Linked DNA regions of Caenorhabditis elegans. The protein of the gene in region 3 interacts with the protein of the main gene of each other region in a pairwise test. Each region holds a gene or a part of one and is shown on either strand. Other genes may lie near its edges.

The links.
Region 1: the proteins of swan-1 (region 3) and egl-9 interact in a two-hybrid assay, tested with the Caenorhabditis elegans proteins (one study listed by BioGRID).
Region 2: the proteins of swan-1 (region 3) and rac-2 interact in a two-hybrid assay, tested with the Caenorhabditis elegans proteins (one study listed by BioGRID).
Region 4: the proteins of swan-1 (region 3) and unc-115 interact in a two-hybrid assay, tested with the Caenorhabditis elegans proteins (one study listed by BioGRID).

The regions. Positions count from the first base shown.
Region 1 is NC_003283.11:10,465,347-10,472,461, reverse strand, and holds the start of egl-9 (Hypoxia-inducible factor prolyl hydroxylase), read right to left. Parts: upstream 3,946-7,115; 5' UTR 3,938-3,945; coding exon 3,863-3,937; intron 3,519-3,862; coding exon 3,390-3,518; intron 2,063-3,389; coding exon 1,585-2,062; intron 1,540-1,584; coding exon 1,346-1,539; intron 1,230-1,345; exon of another isoform or gene 1,168-1,229; intron 1-1,167. UniProt on the Caenorhabditis elegans protein: Cellular oxygen sensor which regulates the stability and the activity of hypoxia-inducible transcription factor, hif-1. In normoxic conditions, hydroxylates hif-1 targeting it for vhl-1-mediated proteasomal degradation.
Region 2 is NC_003282.8:16,305,012-16,311,279, forward strand, and holds rac-2 (Ras-related protein rac-2), read left to right. Parts: upstream 1-3,213; coding exon 3,214-3,318; intron 3,319-3,714; coding exon 3,715-3,806; intron 3,807-4,245; coding exon 4,246-4,431; intron 4,432-4,613; coding exon 4,614-4,818; downstream 4,819-6,268. UniProt on the Caenorhabditis elegans protein: During gonad morphogenesis, plays a role in distal tip cell (DTC)-mediated guidance of gonad elongation.
Region 3 is NC_003283.11:13,803,032-13,810,307, reverse strand, and holds swan-1 (WD_REPEATS_REGION domain-containing protein), read left to right. Parts: upstream 1-3,070; 5' UTR 3,071-3,096; coding exon 3,097-3,369; intron 3,370-3,827; coding exon 3,828-4,034; intron 4,035-4,078; coding exon 4,079-4,186; intron 4,187-4,235; coding exon 4,236-4,371; intron 4,372-4,426; coding exon 4,427-4,785; intron 4,786-5,466; coding exon 5,467-5,550; 3' UTR 5,551-5,913; downstream 5,914-7,276. Other genes in the region: swan-2 (WD_REPEATS_REGION domain-containing protein), read left to right, coding at 6,584-6,937, 6,999-7,276.
Region 4 is NC_003284.9:10,144,462-10,153,894, reverse strand, and holds unc-115 (Actin-binding lim zn-finger protein limatin involved in axon guidance), read right to left. Parts: upstream 6,404-9,433; coding exon 6,265-6,403; intron 5,247-6,264; exon of another isoform or gene 5,174-5,246; intron 5,015-5,173; coding exon 4,766-5,014; intron 4,697-4,765; coding exon 4,476-4,696; intron 4,146-4,475; coding exon 4,002-4,145; intron 3,862-4,001; coding exon 3,633-3,861; intron 3,588-3,632; coding exon 3,478-3,587; intron 3,416-3,477; exon of another isoform or gene 3,315-3,415; intron 3,177-3,314; coding exon 2,935-3,176; intron 2,884-2,934; coding exon 2,786-2,883; intron 2,664-2,785; coding exon 2,457-2,663; intron 2,112-2,456; coding exon 1,958-2,111; intron 1,906-1,957; coding exon 1,779-1,905; downstream 1-1,778.

The DNA.
Region 1 (7,115 bases), 3.3 Mb from region 3:
AAGAGTATGCGTGCGTGATGGAGAGAAGCGGGTGAATTTCACAAAACGTGCCGAAATCGAGAATCGAAAATGGGAAAGTTTTGCACAGACAACGGGAGGTGGACGCTTAGAGACAACGAATGGAATAGTGCTGATAACAATAAATGCACACTGCTGATCTGCACGTCGTCTTTTAGAAAAGAGAAAGAGGAAAAGAGTGAAAACTACCGTATGTTTCTTTTTCAATTCCAGAAATTCTAATTTTCATTCCAATACATTCTCTCTTTTTCTGTTTATTTCAGTCGCTGCATTTCCATGCTTGTTTTGATGTGAATTTCCGGTTTCACGCTTTTTTCAGGTCTACGTGACATTCTCCTCATATTTTCTTATCGAGAGGAGAACGACATCCTTTTCCGAGACGATGCCGTTCATTCTTTTCCATTTGGATGGGAAAGTGGAGGAAGATTCTCATGAGGGTGAGATAGATCAAAAAGATATTCAGAGAATAAGTGAAAGAAGAGCTACGTGAACTTTGACACATTTGTTGGTATAACAGGAAAGAAGAAGCATTGCGACTCGAAGAAAATAATGAATGAGCTGCTTTTTTGCTTCCTCGTCCGGTGGATAACTGAACAATGAGCCGAAAAATAAAAGTAATGGGTTGAGAGGCATGATGAGCAGAAGTTAATGACAGAAGACGGTAGAAATTTTTTATAAGTTAATAATGAATCGTGCTGGGATCAACAGATGAAAATAGACATTTGAAAATGAATTCATATGTTCCACTACATTTTTTGTGTTTCCATTCTAAACGGAAGGACTTCTGAACGGAATGAAAAAGCATGATATTTTCTTAACTCAATAGTGCTCATCAGATTTTCTGAAGAGATAACAAAAATATCAAGTATGCTCACTATAAAACTTCCAGTCTTCATCAAAAGTGAATTTTTCTGTCACCTGACTCACTGTCTACTACTATCATCTCCGAACCCTTTGAACGCGTGATCCATCCCTGTCTACTCGTTCCTATCAACATCAAACAAATCGAGTTCACTTCCATTTTATAATTACTCAGAGAGCACAAAACCGACCAGCCAATTTATTTTGTTGCTGTGTGGCTCTGTTTCTAACCGCTTGGTTTAACTGCCATTTTGTGCAGCATTGCCGTCCGCTCCACACACACACACGCTTCTCACAAATCACGTAAAATTCGGGAGGGCTCGCAGAATCCGCACGTTGGCATGAGCCTAGATACACATATTCACATCAAATAGTTGGTATTTTCACCAATGAAACTAACATGGAAATACGGAAATAAAAAGGTTTTGGCCTTTCGATGAGACTTTAGATGATTACGTTTACTAACCTGAATATCCGGATCATCAGTTTGAATTATCTTTTCTTTTCCAACAGTTATTGTCTCGCTTTTGCCTGAACTTGTAGCTGAACTTGTCGTTGTCGCTGGAGGTGGAATAGTTGCTGTGGAAGCAGTTGACGGTACCGAAGTTGTGACAAGAGCCAACGAAGCTGGTGAATCTCCAGCAAGACTCAAAACTTGAGCTTAAAGATCTTTTATATCAAAAAACTGTTAAATTGGTAGCTTACCGAGTCTACTGATATCACTTTGAGCAGTACTACTTGTTGGGAACATTGCAAGGGAAGCTGATGACATGTGTTCAAGTGATGCTTCATGTGATGTGCACATGGAAGACATTGATTCAGAAGAAATTGAATTAAACACATGCGTATTTCTGTATGGTTTGAATGCACTTCCTTCACTACTGAACGGTACTGTACTTGTTGATGATATCCTTTGTGGAATTTGGATTGGAATCGATGGCTCTGGTTCGGTCTTCGATGTGATCGAAAATGTTGGCGGAAAATTTGAAATAGTTTGATTCAGAATTGGATTATTTTGAAGAGATAGAAGAAGTGACGTGGTAAGTGCAGGATCATCAAACGAAACAGTAGGTGGAATTGGAGCCATAACAGCAGGTGCTGCCTGAGGCATCAAATTACTTGGCACCATGCCACTTGTTTGAAGTGACTTGCATATCATTTTATGTGTTAGCCAATCGAGTTGCTGGAAATTAGATATTGATTCTGAGTTTCGTATTGGAAAAACTAAAAGTTGTAGAACTATTTGAAATACTGAACAAGAATAATACCCTCTACTTCCTCATTTTGTTTTTGCATGTGTTTTTAGCAAATTGTATTCAAAATTTTGATCTCATCTATGGCAAATAAATTAAAAAATTGCAAGCGTCTAAAAATTGAAATCCATAAGTCGCTTTAAAAAAATTGTCTACGTGACACTTGTGATGTTTCAATTTGTGAAAAGTGCACGGGCGTGGCTTGATTTGGGTTATGTCTAATGAGAGAAAGGTGTGATGTTTAGTAAGAAAAATAAGTTGTTGAGCATAAATCAGAATATTTATGAAACGACGTGGGAAACTAAACAAATTTTTTATTTGCATGTTGTTGATGGACGTGTCTAGAAAAGTAATAAGATCAAAAAGTTGACAATGGGAACACAAAAGAGGAAAAGTTTTAGAAATACGAATGAATCATATTGTGATTTTTGTTGCACTCAAATAAGGAAGTAAAATATTTTGAAGCAACATATTCTCGTCTAATAGTATACTATGGCCACAACATATACCTCTAAGAATTGTTTCCGTCTTTTGTTAAAGTTTGATATTTCCCAACTTTTATGCTGAATAATTTAGGAAGTTTAAATGTAGAGGGTCACTATGATTATATTATTAGTGGTTCTTATTGAAAATTATATTTTTTAACGAAACAAGTTTCAGAACTTTTTCAATACTTTTAATAACTAGACTATTGTTCTTGAGAACGTCACAACTTTTTCTGGGTTATCTACAATCCTCCGTCCAAATTCCGTCGATAAAATCTAAAATCGCTGCCACAGCTTTTTTCTCGAAATTAAAATTTCTTCCTATTGTCATCATCTATTTCCCCTATTTCATTTTGATGTTTTTGCAGTAAACACAGACATTGGTCTACAAATGTTTCTGTCTTTCTTGTCTGCGCACATATGCTTCAAAAAGCTCTTTCTCGGGAGGAGGGCAGCCAGCCGAAATGTTCGAATCGACACGTTCTTGCGCGATATGCAGGTTCAGGTTATTTTCCGAAAAATTCAACAAAAATAAGACAACTATAATTGGAAGTAGTTGTCAGAAACAAAGTATAATTTTAAACAGGAACTAGATTTGATTCCCATAAATAGCCAGTTCAAAAATTCGAAAAGAAGGGAGGAATTAGAGTCAAAAACAGATTTAGGGTAGATGCATCGTGAGAAGGGACGGATTACGTGAGAACACTTGTTTATCTAATCAGCAGGACCCCCATTATTTTGTTGATCAACGAATACACCCTACGGTACCAACCTGGTGCTCCTTGGAACAATAAGCCACTGTTCCACAGAATAAACATGTTTGCAATTGGGAAGATGTGCACGAGCTTCCACAATATGTACACTGTAAAACAGCTGTAGAAGAAGATGGTTGACTGAGCATCTGAATAATTATTCATTATTAATGTGACCCAAATATGTAATTCTGAAAAGTTATGCTTTTTTGAAAAATGTACGATTTCAGTGATTTTTAACTCTAATGCGAATAGGGGTTCCATACTACAAACAAAACTTCAAAATTGCTAGACTTAATAAACTAGTCCCATTGATGCAGTGTTCACCACATACAGAAGTACAGTATCCTTTTTACAGATTTTTTGAATAGTGAATTTCAGAAAACAGAGTAATAACTGTTTAAAAATCACTTAGGTAATTCATTTTAGGTGTTCAATTTTCAAAGGTTGGTAATAAGAGTTTAAATTTTCTAACTAAAGTAGTTTAACATACCAGCGTTGTAAAAAGTGAAGCGGTAGAAGGTGTTCCCTTGTCGATCTCACAGTCATCATTTGGGGCACTGCTCATGTCATGTGCTGCAACTTTTTTCTGTCACATTCAGTATCTGGCAGTGATCAGAAAATAACCGAAAAATATGTGAACGTGATAAAATGAACGACGTGGCACCGAAACTGATTGTTTGCGTGTCTTGTGTGCTCATCTCTCTCTCTCTCTCGTGCTTTTTTCTCTCTCTCTTTGCATTTCTCTTATCATTAAAAAAAATGTCCATCTTAGCGTTGATGATTTGCACGACGACATTTTGCCGTTTATCACACGAAGAAGTTAAGAAAAAAAAATTGAAAACGAAAAAAACTGTTCTCAGTACTAGATGAACGGTGAAAGAAATGTGTGGTGGTTGTGATTGGACGGATCAAAGAGACACGATGACAAAGAAAATCGAACAAATTTGATCAAGAAAACAATATAGATTAGAAGTAAAACAGAAATCACAAGGGATTATCCTGGTATATTGTCTAAATAGTAATAACAAAATATGGTTTCATTGATTCAAAAAGTTATCTGTCAATTGATGCCGTTAACCTTCAAATGAAATTTGATTTCAACGTTTAAAAGACGTGTTATTCAGGTTAAAAATTGTTTGATATAAAAGGAATGTGTAGTATGGACTACTCTTCAATAGTTTCCGGAAACACTTATAATTAAAGTGCACTCTTAATCGGCCTTTGAAAAAAAAATGAAATGAGAACGTTCGAAAGAAAAGTTCAGAAATATAAAAAATTAAACTAATTCAAGTAACACAAAAGAAACGGTTTCAAAACGGAAGTTACAGACTATTTCTTTGCAATTTTTAAAAATAATTTTAGGATTTCTCGGTGGAAATCACTTCGACCTTCATCATTGATACGGTAAATCAAGAACGATTTTCTTAAAAGTTATTAAACTGAACAAATTTACGATACATTGTACTCTATACACCAGATGGCATGAACATAGAAACACATTTTTTGGGAATAACGAGACAAAGCTTTGAAATAAGGAATATCTGTATTTTTTCTTCAAAACTTGAATTAATATGTACATTTCAGCAAAGAAAAAACAAAGAGAAATCTTATGACCAATCAAGTGAACACCAATGAGATGCTAAACAAGTTTGACTGAACTTCATCACATGGTAATAACTTTTTATTCATCAATTTTAAAATTTTTATGTTCTAAAATGTTGTGCAGGGTGTTTGGTGTCAAAACAAGGTTGCATCAATCCAGAGAAAAAGAGATGGAACATATTACGTCACGCACTTTTTTACATTCCCACACCTTACGAAAGAGGGCAGAAATTGAAACGAAGAGAAATGAGAAGAAGATATGGAAGGAACAAGAGTTTTGAGAGAGGAATGTGAGACAGATGGGTGCACTCTTTTGCGACATGTTTCTTGCCTATTCCAAAGATCACTCTTTTATATTTGAATAGATAAAAGAGTAGATCTTCGGAAAAGTTTTAGGAAATTTAAGTGTAATCAGGTACAGTAGTCATAAGAAGATCGAATAATTGTTTGATAGTTAAAAAAAAGAACTTTGATATAATAATTGAAAAGTCCGTGATGCTTTACCCAGTTAATTGGAAGAGCATAACAAAAAATGCAATGCGCGGAAAATGACGAAGCGGGAGATCTTTCCTCTTCATTTTCTCTCTCTTTTTCTTCTCATTCTCTCTTTCACACACATACACGCATATAGGAGGAAATCGAGAGATAGAGAGAGACACCAAAACTGTCTACGTGCGCAAATGAAAAATTGGTAAGACAGTTAGAGACACAGACATAATGGTAGATGAGAGCACGGAGACGCAGATTGTGTTGGAACGTGAAAAGCGCACGCTCACATGCACGCGCACTCTGCTTCTCCACCAATCTCTTTACTATCTCAATGTGGTACAAGGTGTGAGGAGATTCGGAAAGGAATGGTCTTTGAGGTCTTTCGTGGGTGATGCAAATTTTTTTTAATCTTTAGCATAACTTGTTGCACATTATGCTGATTTTTCAAGAATTAAGTATAACCTGAAAACTGAGGACTGTTATTAAGAATAAAATGAAGGCATTACTAATTGTCAGTTATCAAGTATTTTTCTGAGGAAAACGTTTGTTCGCTGCATAGAGAAAACATGAATCTTTGAGATAGAACTTGGAAAAACAGTGCAATTTTCTTTTTTTCATGGCCTATAGAATTACTCCAGGTACTGTTTTAGCACACTTTTGGTGTTTTTAGTATGCTCATGTGTAGATAAATGTTGTGGTAGTTTTTGAAAAATTTAAATGTTGAAAAAAAATCACATTAGTGGGTTTTGAAAAATGTCACATTTTTTACAAATATTTAAATTTTTCCCAACATTTTGATTGAGTGATATAATACTTCTAATTAGAATTCTAAATGAAATGGCACGCAACGTTTTGTATTCTGCAAGTAAAATGGAACGTTTTTCTTTTGTAAGAAATTTTGAGAAAAAAAACCAAAATCCCTAAATGAAACCGTAAAACATTAATTAGATTATTATTAAGAATTCAACTGCTAGCAGATTTTTGAATTAAAAAATTGACAAACAAAATGATCTTGAATCGTTGTAATTATTTAATAGATCAGTCTCACTCAGACCTCGCAATTGTCATTACAACACAATAGAATTTGAAATTTAGTCGATAAACATTGATCATTCAAAGTTTAGGTCGGATAAATCGTCATTTAAAAAACGGAAAAAATCTCACAAAACAAATCACAACATTTTCAGACGCTCTTTCAAAATATGCAAAATCTTAAACTTCAAAGACATTACCATATTGTGAAAAAACATCTGTCAGTATATCGTGAAATGTTTTCTTGGTACGTAAAATTAGGAGTTGAAATTAGCTCGTAATAATGTGGCTCTACTTGGAAAGAGTGTTGAAGGTGTCATATGAATTATGACGCACAATGAAATTATTAATTTTAATGAAAGCATGGTGTTTGAACACTTGTCATCAACTATAATGTACCCCCTTCATTTTAGAATGAAGTATAGAATTTTATGAATGTCAAGTAAAGAAACATAAGTAACTCTATTTATTGTTGAATCGACAAATGAGATATAATACGGTTGAAACATAGATTTGAGATTTGGAAACTCATTTTGAGACAAATTATAGTTTCAAGAAGGATACACAACTAAAAATGATTCACTGGAGCAAACATATTCACACGTGTTCAACAAGGATAG
Region 2 (6,268 bases), on a different chromosome or scaffold from region 3:
CGACGGATGCGCAGTCATTGTTGTACTAGAAAACCGACTTTCCATTTTGTTAATCAATCCAACAAAATGGGAATATGCACGTTCGCCATTCTTTGCATTTTACTATTTTACTGCTATTGCCACCTTCTATCCAGTTTATGCTACAATGCCACCAGGAATAGAGTACAAAAAAGATTTTATCATAGAGGTGGTTCCAGATAATAGCCTTGTTAATCATAGAAATTAAATTATCAATTTTCAGTCTCTTCCCTGCCTTAGGGCTGGCCAAATGTCAAAAAATACGACAACTTAAAAAATATTCACGTGACGGGGGTCACTCTTCGACACTTTTGTTTTTGTCAATATTTGACGTGTCGAAAACCGACACCGTCGAGTTTAGACACTCGAAACGTTGATTTATTGTTTTTATTTTTGATTTTATTTCCCAGTTCACGTTTTTTCAAATGAGCACAGAAAACAATGATGTGGCAGTTGAAAAATTTAATAAAATACTTTGATTAACAATTATAATTTTCATTCATTTTTATCCACGTATTCAGTGTCGAAAAGCGACACCACGAAGTGTCAAGAAATGACTTTCTAATTTTTTGAATCACGTGTGAGATTCATTTTTCGACTACAGAAATAAATGAAAATTTTTGTTTATTGACGACACTTGGCCAGCCCTACCCTGCCTATCAGATGAAGTTCGCGCTCTCCCTCTCTACCTTGCCGTGGAAAACAAATTGCAATATCTGATGGGGACTGTAGGAGAAGCAATACTACTTTATGTTACCTGCTTGGCACTCTTTTTTCAAATCTACCGTGCTCTTAAAAAATATGGCAAAGTCCGTTCGAAACAAACCTTGGAACTACAAAAAAAGCTGATGAAGGCGATGTTTTTGCAATTGGCAATTCCCTTTTCCATTATCTCCATTCCAATGGCCTATTTCTCATATACACCATTTTTCAATGCGGCATTGAATAATACTATGTATATTATAGTTGCAACACATGGTTTCATATCAACAATTGTTATGCTCATTGTACAGAAACCTTACCGAGAATTTATCCTGGGAGGTTTCGGGAAGTTTTTTAAACTGAGACAGTCTAGCGAAAATGTTTCGGGGATCAGTTTACACTCGATGAATACAATTGTAGCACCAAACCGAATGTTTTGAATAAATACTACTTTAAACATTGTTTTTGCATTGATTCAAAGCACCGTTTTCTAACGTCGTAACATTTAAGCAGGTGATATTCAGTTTGTAGTTATTACTAATACATTTATTTTGTTTTCAAAGGATAGCCACAATTAAATTTAAAAAAAGATAAATCTCTTTGAAAATGGTATTTTGGTTAAATACTGTTCACTTGAGGGCTTGAAATATAATATAAATCGTTGGAGAGACAGGAGAAACGTCAACAGGGAGAAAACCTGTGTTATTATGTAGAGCACATATATTACAATAGGAAGTGTTAAATAGGAGATGTTAAAGTAGTTAGGAGAATTTCTTTTAAAAAAAGTTATTGTTCTGGATCAAGAATTTTTTATCTCACATATTAAGACAACTAAAGCACAAGAAAAACAGGAACGCTAGGTATAGGAAATAGACGTTTCTGGACATTTGATAAAGATGATTAACAGCTGGAAACAGTATCATCTGAATGAGAAAGTTATGTTTAATGCAATGCACGTGTTGAATACCGCTTTATCGAGTTTTCGATTCATTTTGAACACGTACACATAAACTGGGAATAATGCCGAAAAAACAATCACCGAAGCAATAAAAAATATCTTGAAAGAATAATATATTGTTTCAGTAATTTTTACAATAGTGTCGTTCATTGGTACTTCTTTTAAAGCAATGTACTGCCAAATTTATATTATAGATTAGGAATTAGTGTGAAATAAAGTTACTGACAGGTGAATGTTATTTACGGCAAGAGCGAAAATTTTGTTTCTGTAACATTCTTGACCAATGACAAGTAAAGGTGGAGTACCGAAATGGGTACTTGTGTTTCGCACTACGTTGCTCACTCGCCAAGCTACACACGCCGAGCTGCGGAACTCGGAAGGTATCGGCCGCTTCCAAATAACTACCTTTCGCACTTCGTTGCGCACACACACCGGCGAAGGGCGACGGCGCCTCCGCCGCGCCGCTCTCACATGGAAGCCCTATTCCCTTTTTTTGAAATGTATCCATTTTAATAAAACGTGATGTCCATTACCCCTCTTTAGGCTTAGAAATGGTTATTTCCTGAGCCTAAAGATACAAAAACTCCACACGTTAAAAAAAAAATTTAAATGAGGAAAATTTAAAAATGGCACAATACTACAAATTTTCGTAATTAGATTGCTAAAAAAAACAGTTATGATCACTCAAAAATTTTGGAAAAATCGGCTATATTTTGCTGAAATCTCAAATTTTCACAACTAGGGCTGTTATTTAGGACGTCCTAGGTCGTCCTTGTCATTTTTTGATGGCTTATTTTGGCGTCCGTTTAACAGGAAAATTCAGCCTCAAACTCGAATCCAGATAATATTAACCCAAATAATCTATTTTCGTTATCAAAATTAATGTGTTAAGTCCGAGGACTTTGGTATAAAAATTGGGAGGACGATGAGGACGTCCTGTTTAACAGCCCTATTGACAACTTTTCAGTGTCGCAGCGGTTGGAACTCAATTGTCATCCTAATTTCTGCACTATGACGAAAAGTCAAAGGCGTGGTGTACAGACAACTCAGTGCGAAATGTGGTTTTAGCTGCGGCCGACGCTTTTCGGGTTCCGCTCGGGGGTCACCGCAAAGCGCGCGTGGCAGACGTTATCCCGCCTGCATGGAATCCCTACCTTCCTCATAGGATTCATCAGTAGTTCTCGATCGTTCTTCGGCCCGGCCCAATTCACCTATAAAACTAAATGAAACGCGCATTCAAGGTCATTCCTTATATTTTCCCTATACTCTTATTTCGTTATTTTTGTCTTCCTTATACTTACCACGTGTCTGTTACTCATCTATTCTGTAATTACTTAATTCCTCTGATCAACATGACAAGATGAAATAATCTCACTAGATCCAGTTTTGCTTCTTATTTTTTAAAGTTTTCCGAGGGAAAACGTTAGTTAGATTTCCCCCTCCTATCAGGTTTTCTCCAATGTTTTTCAATATCATGATTAAAATTTGTCCTGTTCTTGAACCAATTTTCAGTTTTTTTGCTCGCGGAGCTCCAGATGCAAGCAATCAAATGTGTCGTCGTTGGTGACGGAGCCGTCGGTAAGACGTGTCTCCTGCTATCGTACACTACAAACGCTTTTCCCGGAGAATATATTCTAACGGTGAGCCACTTTTTGTCGGGGCACTTGAGAAAAATTCGGGTTGGCACTTGAAAATTTTTTTTTCAAAAAATCTTATTTTTTAGCGCAAAAATTTGAAAAAAAATTTGAAAAAAAATCTATCTATACTTTTTTATTTAAAAAACCATGAAAAGTTGAATTCGTTTTTCAAAAAAAGGCAACTTCTGTCCGTAAACGTAAAAATGAAAACATTTTTTGAATGAACCCTCTGAAAGTGGAAAATTTTGACCGAAAACACGATTAAAGTGCTAATTTACATGATGAAAATATGAAAAGTTCTTACCTTTTTTTGCCTGATTTTAACCAGATAAAATTGGAGAACGGTCTGAAATTGGGCTTTTTCCTTATAATCTCGAATTAAGCCCAATATTTATGCAGGTATTCGACACCTACTCAACAAATGTGATGGTCGACGGAAGGCCAATAAATCTCAGCCTATGGGACACAGCTGGACAGGACGATTACGATCAGTACGTGCGGAAAAATCTGAAAAATGCGTCAAAAAATGAGCCAAATTTCATTTTCTCAAAATAGTTGATAGTAAATTTTTTCAAAGTTTTCGCCTATTTTAGAGCAATTTTCTATTTTAGAGCGAAACATTCTGAAACTTCTAAAATTTTTAACCGACCTATTGTCTGCTAAAAGTACAATTTTGTTATTGTGAAAATTGCTAAAAATATTTCCTCCACAACTTTTTTTTCTACTTTTTACAATTTTTCTAGCAATTTTCAAGCGGATTCTATTTTATAATGACAAAAAGAATGTCTATCAAAAAGTAACATTTCATATCAAATTTCGTAGGGAATGAAAAAAATCTTAAACTATATCTAATCTATCTAATGAATGTTTATTGTATTTACATGTGAATGTAAATTTACAGCCCACTTAAATTTCCCCATTTTTCTTCAGATTCCGCCACCTGTCATTTCCACAAACAGACGTATTCCTCGTATGCTTTGCACTGAATAATCCAGCAAGTTTTGAGAATGTTCGTGCAAAATGGTATCCAGAAGTATCACATCATTGCCCAAATACACCGATTATTTTGGTTGGAACTAAAGCTGATTTACGCGAGGATCGAGATACTATTGAACGGTAATTTTTTGGGATTCATTTTAGCATCGAAACAACTTTTTTATCATGTTTGAGAGAGATATGGCAAGAAATTGGGTGTGAAACTTTTGCATATCTCCCCATGTTTTTACCTTTTCGGCCAAAAAAGACAGCAACTCCAATGTAATACCCCCAAAAACTCTTGAAAAATAAAATTTTTGCAGGCTCCGTGAACGTCGGCTCCAACCAGTGAGCCACACCCAGGGTTACGTGATGGCAAAGGAAATCAAGGCGGTCAAGTACCTGGAATGCTCGGCGCTTACCCAAATTGGATTGAAACAAGTTTTCGATGAGGCAATTCGTACTGGGCTCACCCCGCCACAAACACCACAAACGAGAGCCAAAAAGAGCAATTGCACGGTGCTTTAAAATGCGAGGAAATTGGAGAACTCAAATTACAGAAACTACAACAATTTCAACTACCATACTAATTTTCAATACATAAAAGCTTCTGAAGCTTTTCGTCGTTGGAATTTCATATTTTCAGGTCGGAAAAAAAATTGAAGGAGAGGATAATCCCTTGCCTTGAGGACTGATCATCACAAAGTTATTACCACATGATTAGTACCCACCTATAACAGACCAAAAAACGAACCACGTGTGTGTTCAAAGCTAAAATCGGAGTTTCACCATGTTTTTGGCGAGAACTCGTAATTTGAGCTTTGATTGTGAATTCTTTTAGGGCTTCCATGTGGGCGCCGGTCAGGCGCCTCCACCGGCCTCATGTCGCCACTAACGCCGCAAGTATCCGTATGTATAGTGCGGCGCGAAACCTCGAACGTGTCGGCCGCTTCCATATAACTACCACTTCGTTGCGCACATACATCGACGAGGGGCGAAGGCGACGGCGGGCCGGCGTGAGGCCGGCAAAGGCGCCTCCGCCATGCGGCTCTCACATGGAAGCCATAGTTTAATTTGATGGTCATCCTAATTTCTGCACTATGACGAAAAGTCAAAGGCGTGGTGTACAGACAACTCAGTGCGAAATGTGGTTTTAGCTGCGGCCGACGCTTTTCGGGTTCCGCTCGGGGGTCACCGCAAAGCGCGCGTGGCAGACGTTATCCCGCCTGCATGGAATCCCTACCTCCCTCATAGGATTCATCAGTAGTTCTCGATCGTTCTTCGGCCCGGCCCAATTCACCTATAAAACTAAATGAAACGCGCATTCAAGGTCATTCCTTATATTTTCCTTATACTCCTGTTTCGTTATACTTTTCTTCCTTATACTTACCACGTGTCTGTTGTTTGTCCCCATTTACTCTTCTATTCTGTAATTGCTTCATCCCTTTAATAAACACGACAAGATGAAATATTCTTACTATATCCAGTTTTGCTTCTCATTTTTTAGTTTTTCGAGGGAACAAGTTATGGGGTTATTCAAGTAGTGTCGGAAAATTAAAAGGTGTAGGAATATTACGTCACTTTGTGTATTAAAATACATAAAAAACATGTACATAAAGTGACCTAATATTCCTACACTTTTTTAATTTTCCGACACTACTTGAATAACCCCATTAGGTTTCCCCCCGAAGGTTATCTCCTATATTTTTCAATATCATGATTAAAATTTTTCCTGTTCTTGAACCAATTTTCAGTTTTTTTGCTCGCGGAGCTCCAGATGCAAGCAATCAAATGTGTCGTCGTTGGTGACGGAGCCGTCGGTAAGACGTGTCTCCTGCTATCGTACACTACAAACGCTTTTCCCGGAGAATATATTCTAACGGTGAGCCACTTTTTGTTGGGCAATTTGAGAAAAATGGCGTGCAAAAATCAGAAAAAAATCGTCATTTTTATTTAAGAAAACATAAAAAGTTGAACT
Region 3 (7,276 bases):
CAAAGGAAGCTCTATTGATAAGCATACTTTTTTTAAACTCATAATTTGAAGTTTTTACATTTTTTCAGACGAGTTTCCAACAGAACATAAATTGAGCCGTTTTCTGAAAAAAAAGTTCCATAGAGAAAAGTTGCCATTATAGTGAAACCATATGAGAAAAGCCTTCTCTATTCAAAAGTTGCATTTGGCTTAGAAGTGACATCCTTTTTATTCAAAAAGCGCATTCACTCGGTTTTTAATACATCTTTGCATATGTAGTACTGTCGAAACGCTAAATATAGTTTTTAAAAACTTTGTTTTTTTTATATTTGCCATGTTCATGGGAAACCCTTTCAGCTCAAATATATCCAAAAATACAACATAGAATCTAAAATCAGCTACTCCGACTTTTCCTGAATTAAAGTATTCCTAGAAAGTTGAACTGCAAAATTTTTCATTAACAGTTGACTTTCATCACAAGAAAAAAGTGTCGCGGTACTTGTAAAGTTGCCGAGTGCAAACGTTTTGTTCCCAAGCAAAATGTACCACCCAGAAAACAAACAGAAAAGATCCCTTCTTATCGTTTCACATTTTAATAATATCCTCAATTATGGTATTTTGTTGATCCTAGTCTTTTGTTTGGAACAAATTTCATTTATTGATAGCTGTTTGAAAATTAGGCTAACACACATTGTGTTATCGCCCTCTGACTGAAATCATGAAAACGAGCACGGCTAGACTATCTGGTTAAATTTTTTGAAATAACCGATCAATCTCGTTTTTTAATATTTAATATTTCTAAAAAAAGAATGGCTTGCTGTGATCCGCAGGAATACCACAAATTCCTGAAGAACGGATCGTCTAAGTATCTGAGTATCTAAGTAAGTTTTTTTTCAAATTAATATTTTTTAGTACTGAAATTTACCAAACTATTTTTAGTTAATCAAACACTCAAAAACTTTTTTGCAACTTGCCTAATTTTTTTAGCTGAAATTTTGAAAAATTCTAACGGAAATTTTTTTCGGTGAAGCTTTTCAAAAAAGTTCTTGAGTTGCGCCAGTTTAATGCTGCCCATGATACAATTGAATTATCAAAATGAACATAATGAAAGAGACAAGTTTTAAAACTAACAACATAAGAACCTTGTTTTGTTAGTAACGAGTTGCTTTTAAAACTGTTATTAAAAATTACTGAAATTCTAATAAAACCGTTGATTCGTAGGTGCTCCTGAACAAATATTCAAAATGTGCAGGATTTTCTAAACAATTTCAGGCTCAGTCAGATCAGATTTCTTTTTGAATGGCTTGTTCCAGTCTTTACAGTTAATACTTCTAAATTATCAAGGTAGATTGTAGGGCAGTTTTACATAACTCTCACGGAGCTTCAGTGTTTTTAAAGTCAACTGGAACGTATTCTACGATCATCCAGATCCGGAAAACTTGCATCATAATGCACCGTTTCTGGCGTCATGTGCTCCTTGTAATTTCATTTTTTCTCTTCCACCTGCAACCGAGTATTCGGGGTCAACGTATCCGCTAGCCGCATTGCATGTCCGTCTAGCCGACCTCTGCGTCTCCATTTCTGCAAAACGAGATGGACAGACGGCACGTAACGCAGAGAATCTTTTCGTTTCTTCTTTTTTCATTTTGCTTCGCTCACTCACTCTCTCACTCACTCACACACGCACTCACGCAATGGTCTCTAACTCTCTGTGTAACTCTCCTATTTCTACCTACTACCTCGTCCAGTGCAGCTAGTCGGTGGCCCCCTTCGGTGAATAGACGAACACTGCACAGTTTACACTATTTGCATACTATCGATTGGTTACAATCTGCAACGCACTGTTTCTGTCTCTTTACATTCCTCCTAATTCCCTAATTCCATTGTTGCTCATTAGTGAACTAATGCGGGTATTCCCAGTTGACCACTAACTATTTTTTGCAAACTTTTCAATGTGATCTTTTGGATAATTTTCTTCTGTTCTTGTTCGAACTTTCATTGTTTTTTTCCAAATTGGAAATAGATTCGGAAAATGTTCGAAATTTGGAAAAGTTTGCAAAATAATTCCATTTTTATAATGTTAAATTGGAAAAAAAATTGTCCGAACAAAAATTTTCTCAGAACTAACTTCCAGTTTTTCTTCTTTTTTTTTATGCAAAAGTTGAATTTTGGTCCTCTTGACAACTTCGAAAATTACAATTTTTGTCCAAAACTTGCTACATTTTTTCAGCTCATTTTCCAATCAGCGTTACCTCCAAAAAAGTTCAAATCAAGTCAGTTTTGAATATCCAATGTTTGTCAAAAATTCAGAATGCAATAAACAAAACTATAGTATGTGATCAATTTTACTCCTCTAAAATTGTTTCTTTCTATTTTTTCGCTTAAATTAAATTTTCGATCTCTATGATTAGGCTGTCCAAATTTAAATTAAAAGTGTCGGCATTAATCTGGAATAGACTGAAATCCCAATATAGGAATTGCCCATATCTCGGTGTTTTGGACTCAATTTTCTTATACTTAATTGAATCTGTTTGTCGTTTACTTTTATGTTTTTGGTAGTGTGCTTTAAAAAACATGGCAATCGTTCAAGCTTTACAACTACCTGATTAGCATTTCTTTTCTGATTTATAATGTCATATCACATCAAAATGACCTAGAAACAACTTGATCTACCCCCCCCCCCCCCTGCCTTGTTGAAATAATCGAATCCCTTTTCAACTTCACCTGTCTCATTTGAGCTGCTCTCCTGCTCTCTACTGCCTTCTTTTCATCTTCAACATTCCACCACCACCTCCATTCCATTCGTTTTCGATTTAGTGTAACAAAGTGCGTTCTTCCCTCTCTTTCTCTCTTTTTCCCTCATTTTCTTCCTGTGTCCTTCTACTTTTCAATTTTATTTTTCTCGTTCTCGTGTTCCCTGCGTCTATTGATTTACCGTATTCTCTGTGATCGTCTTTTCCCTGGAACCTTTCTGTTTTGTCGAATTCGATTTGAAAACTACTACTCTCACTTTTTTTTCGCTCTTTCCCTCGTTCGCTTACTAGTTTCCAATTATTCTAATAATCCCCTCACGCAGTGTTTTATCTTGCAGAAACTTGTGAACCCTTATCACCTGCAATGGCTACCAATGGTCACGCAGTGAACGGAGAAGCTCATGTTATGCAACAAGTCGCACAACAACCAGCTCCACCAGGACCATTAGCTCCGCAAGGGATCGGAAGACAGAACGAAATTGTGATCGGAGGACGTGATCGACGTTGTGAGATCTATAAATTCACGTCTGATCAACAGTTGTATGCATCGGCATGGAGCAACAAAAATGATATCAAATTTCGACTTGCTGTGGGAACAGTATCCGACGTGTCCGTTAACCCATGTGCCGCAAACAAGGTGAGTTTTTGAAAAATTTGAAAACGTGTGAGTGGTAATGTTGGCCATAGTCAATAAGGTCCCATTTACTGAAATACCACAAAAAACGCAATTCTAAAAAACGGGTTTTTGCAAATTCTAATCTACTGTTTAAGTTGTCTACAAAATAAGAACTGCAAGATTAAACAGCGATCGTTCTTATTTTTGAGTTGAGTTATATTTTTGAGTCGAGTTTTACTATAGTTCAAAGACACAATTTAGAAAAACTGGAAATCGGAACAAATCGAAATTGAACTGTTCAGGTTTTAAACATAATTTTTGTCTTTCCTTTTGCGGTATTTCAGTATGTATATTAAAACATTTCGAATATTTTGAATTGAAAACCCTATAGACTGTACTCCAATGTAAAAGTTAAAAAAAAAAAAAACGAAATTTATATGTATTTTGAAACATAACAGTTCCAATTAAAACGTTTTCAGGTATCAATTGTACAACTAAAAGACGAAACTGGCGAGCTTGTCGAGACGGCGAGCTTTCCAATGGAGTTCCCAGCCAATGCAGTCGGTTTTATTCCGGATCCAGACAACGTTTACCCTGATCTCATTGCCACAACATCAGATTGCCTTCGCCTCTGGCGAGTAGTTGATGGAAAAGTTCATCCAGACGCAGTTATGATCAATAATACTGTACGTTAAACCTGTAAATTTTTAGTGTTCAATGGAATTTTCAGAACTCACAATATGGATCAGCTTTGACAAGTTTCGACTGGAACGAGCTGGAGCCGAGGTATATTGGAGTTTCCAGTGTAGATACGACTTGCACAATTTATGATGTTGAGGTGAGTTATAATTTTGATAAGATTTAGTGAAATGTTTACAAATATTCAGGTTGGTTGCGCAATTGGGCAGACCAAGCCGACAGCTCCATTCACACTCAAAACACAACTGATTGCTCATGACAAGCCTGTTCACGATATCGAATTTGCTAAAATCAATGGCGGTCGTGATCATTTTGCAACTGTTGGTGAGTCTTGTCTAGCTAGTATTTGCATCTTTTTATAAACATTACGAGTTTCCAGGAGCTGACGGAAGTGCCCGAATGTTTGATCTTCGACATTTAAACCACTCGACAATTGTCTATGAAGATCCAAACAAGGAGAAGCTTCAAAGACTGTCATGGAACAAACAAGAACCTTATTTCATGGCTTTATTTGCCGAGAACAGTCAAGAAGTTCAAATTCTTGACATTCGTATGCCATGCAACATTCTCTGTCGACTCCGTAATCACACTGGACCAGTGAACGGAATTGCATGGGCCCCACACAGTCCACATCACATTTGTACTGCTGGAGACGATTCACAAGCTCTGATTTGGGATCTGCAGCAGGTTCCAAGACCCGTTGATGATCCGATTCTGGCTTATTCGGCTGGTGGAGAGGTGAGCATTTGAATTTGAACTTAAAATCTTATCCGATCAAGATCAAAAAGTAGTGAGATTAAAAAATATATATACCTGAAAATTAAAACGAATGCTGAAAGAGAACTTTCAAAAGTTGACACTAACGATTACAAAAAAAAAACATTTACACGCAGTTATTTGAATTTAATTATAAAAATCTCATTCATTCATTGAACATTTTACCTGAAAATTGAATAAAAAGGTAAAAAAGGTGCGTCCCTTTTTGTTAATTTTTTGCATCAAATTTTCTTATATTTCTTAGAATTTTACATAATTTTCTACAATGTCACTAGTGGGACTCAGAGGTGCAGTCTTAAAAATTGCAAGTAATGAGCCACTTTGAAAACTGGAATATTTGAGATCTGAGAGTTTAAAAACTGTTTTTCGAAGCGGATTGTTTTTATTCTACCATGTTTACATTACATTTGCTGAAACAGTTAACAATTACATCCAAGTTTTTTCTTCTATGCCGAACTTAGCTTGGCTCCGTTTTCGGGGTGAATTTTTTTCCACCTGCTTTTCCGGAATCATAAACATCGAAGTTTCATACTACGTTCAGCTGTTGCACGTAGTTTCTTAGAAAACATAAACTATGAATTGTCACCTAAATTTTGTTGGAGATTTCCAGTTTCAAAACTTTCATTACTATACAATTTCCAGGTCAATCAAATTCATTGGGGTCCTGTACACAGTAACTGGATTGCAATTTGCTTCAACAAAACTCTTGAGATTCTTCGAGTTTGAGCAGAGGATGTGCGTTCTGTTTGAGAACTAACAAAAATTTCTCACATTTCTCAATTAACGTTATTTTCCATTTCCTGTTATGTTTTTATGTTTTTAAATTATAATTTTTTGTCAATTGCTCTGATTTCAAGTCACTTTCTCCGCCTTTGTTGTGAACAACTTATTTGAATTAATTCCAAAGCATCAGTATGATGATTCACGATCTCTTTCAAACCTCAATTTTCTCACGCCAACACACAATTGTTTTATCCACCCGAAAATTATTGTTTTATATCCTATTTTTTTCCATTTTCCATTGTGATAAGGTTACAGGAAACCCGAAAATTTTTTAAGGTGGTTTCAAAAAAAATTTCAGAAATTGTATTTTTTTAAAATATTTATTTTTAACTGAAATACTCCGGTAAATTCCTCCGGCTTTTATACTTTTCAAAATGGATTTTCACTTTGGTATTTCTTTAATTTCTGGTTTTTCACAGGAAAATTCTTCCGACACAGCAGCCGAACGTGAAGCCGCAGCGGTCGTCTCAGCTGCAGACCGCCGAAGACTTTCGGTTTGTACCGAGAGCTCCGCCCGCGCCAGCGGCACCCACATCGTCATCCGCGACGACGACACAGTCTGCTAATGTGAGTTTTCATTTTAGCGAAAGTATTGATGAAAAATTATGTACATCAAAATTGACGTCATTTTTCATCTGTGCCTACGTTGCGAAATGTGATGAACCTTTATATTGACCACCCGACCGTTTCCGCGTGACTGACTGAAAACATGTGTTTGCCATATGAACCTAATTTCTTGACAGCAATGTTGCTTATTGTTTCAGAATTAATCGACTAGTTTTTTCAAACTTTTTGATAGAAAATTGTTTCTTATGAACAGTTCAAGTTTTAGTTTCAATAATACATATAATATCTCTTGAAATACCTACTTTCTCTACAATTTTTTGTTCAAAATTTCATTTAAGAACCATTAAAACTTTGCCTGAAATAATCAAGAGATATCCCAATTAAAAAAAAATTTCTCATTTAGTCTCGAATGATTGATCAATCCCAAGCAGCACCATCATCATCTACGTCATCGTCTCATTTGATGCACCATCATTCGAACAACTATCCATCATACACAAATCCTTCTGCTTCAAGTTCCAATCACAGTAACATGGGTCATCCAAACGCGTCAACAGGTCAAACATCTGCAGTACAAAGAATGGATCCGTTCAATCAAATCCCATCAGAACTTTATGGATCAGCATCGTCAACGTCAATAGCTGCATCAACACGACAACCATCATCACAATCACAACCATCACAACAGTTCAGACAAATGCCAGCCGATTTAGGAGCTTCAACGTCTACGATGCATTCTGTTGCACCGATAGATATTTATGATGTAAGTGAAAGTTTATTAAATTTAAATTCAAAATTTTGATGAAAATTTTCACTAATTTAAGAATTATGGAAACGCCAGTACATCAGATCTACGAAGAAGCAGTGTACGGGGTGATCCTCGAAGGAAGGAGATCTACGCCTACAATGCTCCATTCACATTATTCTCCCATGGCTGGAGCGCAGCTACAGATCCTTCAAGGAAGTTTCGGCTGGCGGTTTCAAGTTTTATCGAAGAGTACTCGAACAAAATTCATATAGTGCAGTTGGACGAAGAAGCCGGTGAACTTGTACATCGGAGCACATTTGATCATCCGTATCCAGCCACGAAAATCATGTGGAT
Region 4 (9,433 bases), on a different chromosome or scaffold from region 3:
CAAGATTATTGATGATTTTCAAACATTTTTTTAAAACAAAACTCTTTTTATTAAAGTAGTACTTGAATTTATATCGAAATTATTTATTTATTTATTAGAGCGCGCCTATAGTATTATATCGCTTTTAGGTGACCTGGGCGTAACGTGTTGTTTTATGAGATTTCTCTGCAAGGAATTACCGGTTTCTACATTGATTTCGTATAATATTCTAAATTTACAGATCATATGTGCAAACAAAGTGTGAATGACGAAAATTGATACAAATTAAACTTTAAAATTTTAAAGGTCTTTACAGTGTCAACACCAAATAACTTTAAAAGCCTAGAAATGTAATTTGTTGCAAGAAAAGAAAAGACGATGAATGAATTAAAGTTCAAATTTGTGTGTTCAAAGTTAAGAAACATCTAACATTAAAAAATTAAAATATTACATGGCAGTGCGGTTTTTGGAAACAAACGTTTCAAGTGTTTTCGTTGGCAAAACATGACAACTGATTTGTTAAACAGGACGAATTGCAAGTGGAATTGCAACATTTTTATCCAAAGAGCACAAATGTTATCGAGTGATTGGTGGAGCAAAATGAAAGAAAAGAAAAATGGAGCTTTCATTCGATCATCATTTGAAATTTTCTCAATTGTTTATTTTATTCATTCTCAACAGATGTTCTCAACTTTTTTGCATTTAGAGCTTTTTTTTCTGTGTGTCGTCTTCAAGTTTTCAAACACAAAACACTTATTTCTTGAGTTCTGTTTACGCGAAGCATATGCAGTTTATTCAAGAACAAAACAATAAGAATAGAATGTTTTCCCATTTGGTGGAGACAAAATTTTGAATATGAAAACATATAGGAGAGAAGTGAAGTAGGAACAAAAAACAATTAAAATAATGGGGAATAACCTATTCTGATCAGTTTTTTTTCTTTTACAATTGAAAATTGAAGATGGGATGACTTGGAGACAAATAACGGGGATATAATAGGTAAATTGAGACAAATGGGAAACAAGCATTTGCCTAGAAGAGGCAACATGTGTAAAATAAAAAAGAAATGATAAACCCATGTTAGCTAGCTACTGTAGGTTTTATTCATTTTGATTACAGCTTTTTTACTGGCGGTATACACTTTGATTTTAAAATAAAAATGAGCATTTTTTGTTTAAAAAAGCTATGAATAATCTAAGCAATTTAAAAAAAGCTTATTAATGTGAGGGGAATTTAGAATAATATAAAAATGTAATGACAATTAAACGTTGAACACCAATTCATATAGAAGAAAGCACGCATGCAAAATGCAATCTTTTGTGAGAAAAACTGTAAGAAGAGAAAAAAACCGAGATTCCGCGTAGAAGACAAATTAAAGTTACTTTTAAAGTTGATTAAGAAATTACAAATTTTGAATGAAAAACACTAGTTGAAAGCGGCAATAAAAGCTGACAAGCTATATCCCGAAAGATATTTTTGAGAAGTTTGGGTCAATATTTTGGCATAAAAATCAGAAAACATAACAGAGTAGTAAAGTGCCTCAGAATCAATACATAAAGAGAAAGTAGGAAGAAATGAATGCAAATTTTCCGAAAACACGAATGCACTGACTGCCGAAATTATGCGCAGAACAGGAGCAACTTTGGGATGAGAATAGATTGGACCAAAAAAAAGAGTATTTGAAAAAGTTACGCGTGGAGAAAAGAAAACAAATTCGACCTAACGTTTTGTTTAAGACACAGGCAACAAGATGATTTGGTGAGGGTGAGGGAAAGACGACGACAGCTAAAACGAGGATGTTAGAATAGTTTGTGTTTTCGCTTCAAATTGATCCTCTTCCATTCGGGCAGCTTATAAAATTCAATTAAGGACATCTTGAAGATCTCCTCAAATTGATCTCGCGGCAAGTGTCGTTCCAAATGTTGTCTACAAAAAAGGAAATGTCAGTTGAATGCTAACTTATTTTTTCATTACTCACCTGTCAACATCTTCTGGGAGGTCCGAATTTGTCGTTTGGAGAAACAGCAGGTCGTACTGCTTGGCAGGTTTGCTCATGTCAGGAAGAGAAGAGCGAAGCACAGCTCCACCAGCTGAGCGAGGTCCTCCAGCTGTTCCAGATTCCGTCGTCGAGTCTGAAAAAATTAAAGCAATTATTGTGACAACTACGGCAGTTTAAAAGTTCTTGAAATACTGTTTAAAGAAGTCTAAACGTTATTCTCTTAATTTGAGAAAAATTAATAACAGAGTAAGAATTTTGAATTTTTACGATACATTATCAAGGTTATCTGATTTCAATATTTTAATAATTCATGTTTGAGTGACCAACAAACAGTGTTTTTTAGATCAAAAATCGTTCCTTTTTCAAATATTGCAAAAATGTTTTGCAAGAGAGTCCATTTTTCATTTTACTGTTTTAAAACTATTTTCTTCACTTCCAACTTCTGTTTTCCAAATTTTCCCATGAAACTTTCACATACGTTCAGAATAGTGGCTGCTAATTGTGGTGTCCAAGTTCTCAAGCGACAAGTTTTGTCCGAATTCCGTCGGAAGTGTGGCGGCTCTGAGTGTATTCGCCCGGCTATCCTCTGGAATGTGGAAGCACGGCAGTGTATTGTTTCCCTGGTCTCTCTCGCCTCCTTGCCAAACAACCCATGGACGCGGACGATTGAGATGACGAGATGGCGCTGAAAAAATGAAAAAGGGCAATGAGTTTGCACTTGAGAAGAAGAAAAGGCGCACGAAAGGAGTATGTGTTGTGCTCTATAGCCAGCTACTGATTCAATTAGGAAAGCGCACAAAAACATACAAGCATTGATTGGGACGTCGTAACGGAATTTGAGATGTGGCATTTTCTTGCCAGATGGGGTTCTGCTTGCGTTTCTTGGATCCCAATGAAGTGGCAGCCTGCAACGTAATTAGTAATTATATGATAAAATATGCAATAAAATATAATACCTTTGCTTCTTATGACTGTCTTCGATGTTTTGCCTGATGACGTGAGCAATGGAAGAATCATTATACTTCTCCAAAGTTTCAACAGTCTTTCTCAACTTGTCCTCGTCAACCTTGTCGCTCTCCGAGTATTCATCGTCGGAAATCTCATTTTCAACCGATGATGTTGAGAGTCTTCTTTTGAGTTCTTCGACGGCATACGGGAATTGTGGAGCAGGGAAATCCTCTCGCTCGATAGCAGGAAGCTGAAAATATATTTCCTGCGTAATTAAAGTTTTGAAATTGAGTTTTGTTTCAACGGGAATATGTATTTTTCCCACATTTAAACATTTCTTCTTAAGTTTAAACATTTTTTTTTAATTTTTATTCTGCACAGTCTGAAAAAAGGATGCTTAATACTTTGATTTGGCGTCTACAATTTAGTGATTATAATTGAAATTCACAAACATTTACTTAGCTCTTGAATGACTAAAAAACGGTAAGTTTATATTGTTTAGTTTCAAATATCTTTCAAGTTTTAACGTATTTTTGTTTTGCAGTACATACCGTGTCTGGATCGGGCACATGTGCAGCTGGATAGTGAGCTAATTCAATTGGCTCCTCATTGTCCATGTGTGGAGATTTTGGACGTGGGATGTTCTTTTCCAAATCCTCCGCTGAAAATAAAATATTTTGTCTAATAAACGGGTATGTGGACTCACTAAGTCTTTGCATTCCAGTTTTGAGCATCGACATCCTTGACTTGCGAATCTTGATTGGTCCTTGTGGAACGTGGTATTGTGGAGCATTTGGCTCCTTGGCGTTCATCACTGGATGTCTCAAGTAGGTTTGTTCCACCTCTGGCAACAAGTACATGTATGCTTGATGCTGTCCAAACGTTGATTGATATTTTGGCTCATTTCGAGACAATGTGGCAGCACGTCCAGTTGGCTAAAAATTGATTTTTTTTAAAGTATAATGTAATTAAGAATTTATTCGAATGCTTTGAGAAAGCATCATCATCATCTTGACTTTCAATGTGATGAAATCGGATACTTTGGAAAAACAAAATGAAAAATGAAATTGCATACCGCGATATTTTCGGTGGTCCGCGCGTGCTCACAGGATGGATGCCAGATCTCGTCTCCTTGCATATACATCTCTTCACCGTCACCAAAATGAGATCCACATCGTGAACAGCGGGCACAAGTTGGATGGAATTTGTAGCCGCCAGCCTAAATAAAAGAAATTGACTGAATAGAATATTTTGGGAAGGTCAAAAGAAGAATAGACAACTTGTTTTGATCTTGGTGTTTTTTTTAACAAAAAAACTTTTCTCAACGTTTTGCAGGGGTACAACTTAACCTTGATTGCAAAAGTAACAAAAGTTTGGAACAGGAAGATCCAAAAGGTTTTTATAAATAGATTGATTAAAATACTTTCTTTTTTTCTGAAAATATATGTTGTTATGGTTTTTCGTAGACAATGTAGTGCTAAATTGTTTTGTTCACAAATCAACTTTGTTCGGTTTTACTTTTATTTTTTGTTATCAACCAAATACCCACCTGTAAGACTTTTCCAGCAATGAACTTTTCACACTCGTAACATTTGACACCGAATTTCTCGTTATAATCTCGAAGGCACAATGGTTTTCCGTGATGTGACATGTACTCTCCATGGAGAACTGCTGAGCACTCGCTGCATTTGAAACAGTACACGTGCCATGAAAGACCGAGAGCGAGAAGTACTTGACCCGAATGTAAAGCTTGGTCACAGGCGGCACACGCTGCAATATTAAGTGTTATACATAAGAAAGTTTCAAATTTCACTGCCACTCCGACAGCTCATTGCTTACTTGTTGGTGATCCGAGCGGAGAGATTTGCTGCAGCGTGGCATTAGCGGCTCCACTCGACGACACGTCCGTTGTACCATTTGATTTCTCCGGAGATTTGGGCGTCGCCGCACTTGAGGAAGACGCGTGTGCTTGTTGCGTCGTCGTCTTCACTGTTATCTCTTTGGATACGGCGCGAAAGTCGTCGGGACACAGATACGCATTTTCTGGTGTTGTGTAGAAGCCCGTCTCGCCTAGATTCCGACCACATTCTGAAAATAATAGATTTTAATAAACCTCGAAAAAAAGTTTTCAAAATGCCACAGAGGCGAACCGTAACGTCACCGTCACCCCTTTCAATTCACACTCATTAATTCACAATACCGCCTGACATCTGCTTGTCTTACGAAGTGGACACATTAGAGCCATCTGGCCGCGTGGCGCAATGGATAACGCGTCTGCCTACGGAGCAGAAGATTGTAGGTTCGAATCCTGCCGTGGTCGAAACTTTTATTTAACGAGCATTTATTCCAGAACGGTATATTTTATACATTCAAAATTGTTCACGTGTGATCGACTATTCCAAATCATAATAATTATTTCTTCATATTCTCAATCACCCGAAATAATTCTTCATTTTTGTTACACCTCATAGAGTTCAAGTTGAGTGTGCCATGAAACAAAATTTGTCTTTTAGCGCCCGGTAAATATTTACGCAACGACGAATCGATTTTAGGTAAACAGTGCGATAATAGTGTGTTTGCCATTTTGCAGGTGGAATTCGAACAGAACTTGAAACAAAAACCAATAAAGTCAGGTTAGATTTCAAATGTCAAAAACGTTTCGCTTCAAAATTTTCATTTTCACACTCCATCGAACAGGCACCATTTTCCAAAAATGGTGACGCAGAAATTCTTGTGTCATAGAGTTGCACATTTCAACTAATCCTTCTTAACAATCTATGATGGATGAACAATGGAGAAGCCTAACTTTCGAGGATTACAAGATTCTCTGCAAAGGCGGTGGTTCTCAGAAAACACACTTTTGTAAATGGGGTCATAAAAAGAAGACCAGTGTCCCCCGAAACAAAAGTGGCCAAGAAAAATATGTGTGTAATTGAATTGAAAGCGAAAATCGCAATTTAATTTTGTTTGTTTCTTGATTGGTAAATCTAACCTAAGAAACACTAAACAGCATAAACAGTAGGTTCCTTAATTTTTTCAAAGGTTGAACTTTTTTGGTTATTAGGTTTTGTGACAATGTTTCTTAGATTTTTATCAATGTTTAGCTTGGAACGTTCTTTTTCGTGTAAGTAGTAATGGATGCTATGCCCTGTTCAAACAGAAGTGAGATAACAACGAGAGTCTCGTGCTGTATTATGTAATAAACACACTGAAACATTTTCCCGTCTCTTCCACAAGAAAAAGCAAACATTTCGAAATGTCGGCACTTCATGGAAATTGAAAACATAACTTTGGATATCTAATCTTTATCATGGAAAAATTGTTTTGATTGAACTCACTTTTGCACTGAAAGCAGTTGATGTGAAAGTATTTGTCATTCGCTTTTAAGACGTCTCCTGAGCACTTTTTGCGACATACGTCGCATTTTTTGCCTAAAATCAAATGGTTTACTGATAATACAGGTCTGCTGAATTTCATTCTCCGCTTGTTTATTTTTTTCTCAAATATCTCAATGAAGATCTACCATCAAATCAATCAAGAAGACTGTCAATCTTCAATTTCCCTTTTTGATTTATTTGTTGCGGGAAGCATTGAAAAATTTGTTGCAAAATAGCTAGAACTTGGTAGCGAAAAAAGGAATAAAAAGAGGGCGACATTGCCCTCTCTTTTGTTGCAGTTTGTTTCTTTGTCTCATTGTAACTCTTTCTGAGTCATCGGTACCAAACTGAAAATCAACTATTATGAAATTTTTCCAGAAACCTCTTATTTTGACAAACAAGCAGAACGGAAGAAATAACAATATAGTCAAAGTATGGACATGGTGCAGGTCGATTTTGCTGCCCAGAAATTACTTCCGGTATATTAGCATGAAGCTAATATCTCAATCTAATACATCTAGAAACAAACATTGAAGCCCAATCATATTTATGTTTATCACATTTCGAATCGTTAACACTACAAAAAACCAAAACGAACCCATGGCAAAGTGGAGACGACGCGCAGTGCTTGCGAATAGTGGTGGTATAGAATAGCGGAGAGAGGTCTAAAGTAGAGCTGTCCGCCGCCTACCCCGGCACTACTGCATGAGGCGAGAGGGGGACGAGAGGAGCAGGGCGAGAGACGCAGACACATCCACACATACAACACTCGTCGCCGCCGCCATTCGTCAGAAGAGACATAGGGGCCCCCGGCAGCAGCGATCAATAAATGGCCCAGCTGCGCGCAACGCTCCCTCTCTCTTTCTCTCTTCTACTCCCAATTCACAATAAATGCATTCCGGCCTTCACTCTTCTTCCTCTCTGAACCACCACCACTACCACCAATGCCAAGGGAAAGCATTGGACGGAGGAAAAGGAAATGCGAAGAAGGAGGAAACCCGGGAAGAAGAGGACAAGAGAGGACATCACTTTTTGCGGGACCCCAATGTCTTCCAATTTAGATAGGATTGATGAGAAGAGTTTATTTTGAGTGGGTAAGAAAACATTTCTTTAGTGGGCATTGGTTTCGAGGAACTAGGAAGCACACCATGAATAATTTCAAGCATGTGAACGTCCAAAAGTTGCTGTCAAAAGTGGGACTGTTTTCACAGTGTAACTAATTTACAGTTTTATTGATGGAAAAATTACAAATACAGTTTTCGAATGTTTGCAATGTACTATAATCTCTTCTATAAAAACGTATTTTATTTTGAATGAGTTTATATAGAATGTTAGTTTAGTACACGCCACGCTTCAAGCATGTCCTGAACTAAATGTTTTATTCAGAAACTGAAGTTAATTCTTCAACTTCCAACGTTAAAAAAAACCAACCTTTATACTGAAAACTGACACGTTCGACGATGTATTGCAAAAGTAGAAATGAGACAATATTTCAGTCGTGCCTGCCTCCGGCGAGCATCTGGCCAAAAACAGACGGCCGAGTTGTAGAGATGTCACACTCTTAGCTAATCAACCGGTCCCGAGATGGCGAGCCAAAAAAAAACACTTAGAAATCTGAATACAACTTTCTGAAATGATGTTTTTTCTGTTCTGAAGATATGTTTTCCACATCATTGTTCTCGAAGTGAAGAGGGCATGTAAATGTTTAGATATGCTTCACTACATGCACTTCTCACGGTTCCAATTTGTGTACAAACGCGGAAAGATGAGAATGCGACAGATAATGTATAATGAAACGGGAAACATTTCACTCGAAAGTGACCTGTTTGTTGTTCCGCACTGTTCCGTTGCGAGAATTGATATGGATGAGAGTGTCCTTCTTGACATAATTATGCAAATTGGGAGCATCTTAATATAACTGTATTGAGATGAAAACAATTTTTACCATGACAATACTTAAACCTACAATAGCCACGCTAGAAGACTTCTTATTCTTGTGCTCTTCTGACAATTGGTACAAATGGTATACAATGCTTACTGGTTTTTGGCCCACATTCGTGTGAAAAACGGCAGCAAGATGTCAACAGTGTAACATTTCTGATTGTGGGTAGTAGATAACAATTCACGCTGCTCTACACCACAATCCCAAAGCTTCTCAAACGGAACGACATTACACAAAAACAAATGGCTCTAACGTTTTTCAAGAAAAGAACCGGTTGATATTTACTTTTTTCAGCATAATGTTCCAAAGGTCGTATAAAACAGATTGCAGTAAACCAACGTACTCAAAATATTGTAACATTTATTGAAAACATGAGAACCAAAGACTTAAAATATTATTCCTAGTCAGGAGAAAAACGTTTCGACCACGGCAGGATTCGAACCTACAATCTTCTGCTCCGTAGGCAGACGCGTTATCCATTGCGCCACGCGGCCAGTTGCCCATCCCCTGTCGCGGCGCCTATACATACGGACATTTCTTCACTGGCAAACGGACTGGTGGCGAAATGAACGGAATATGAATTTAATGTGACTTTAGGGCGTTTTAAAGTTTCTGGTCAAATTACACGCAAATAAAAAATACCAATAAGAGTAGGTTAGCTTTCACGGATGTTGAAAATGCAATATTTAAATATTTAACTAAAACTATTTTTATCATTTAAAAATAGTTTTGAATTTTTCTGATTAAAATTTTTTTTTAATTTTCAACTTATTTCAGTAAGTGTATAAGATAACTAAAAAATCCAATAGACTAAAACAATTGAAAAGGTCCATTTTTAGCTTCTGATGAAAAGTTAATCCAAATCCTAGAAAAGTTTTTTTTTCAAAACTTTTTAAAGTAACGAAAATTTAGTAAATCTCCCAATAAAAATGCGGTTGTATATATGCCTGAAATTCGTAAAAATGTTTTTTTTTAATTAAAGGTGGAGTAGCGCCAGTGGAGAAATTGTTAAAAACCACTACTTTGGTCTCAAAATGACCAAATATCATGATAAAACTTTCCAAAAGTTTTTTGAAATTTTTTTATTTACTGTCAAAAAACATTGTAGGGGTCGAAACATGCGACATTGCTTTGGATTTCTTCAAAAGCTCTTTTTTTTTAATTTTTGGTAATTTGCCAAAACGTTGA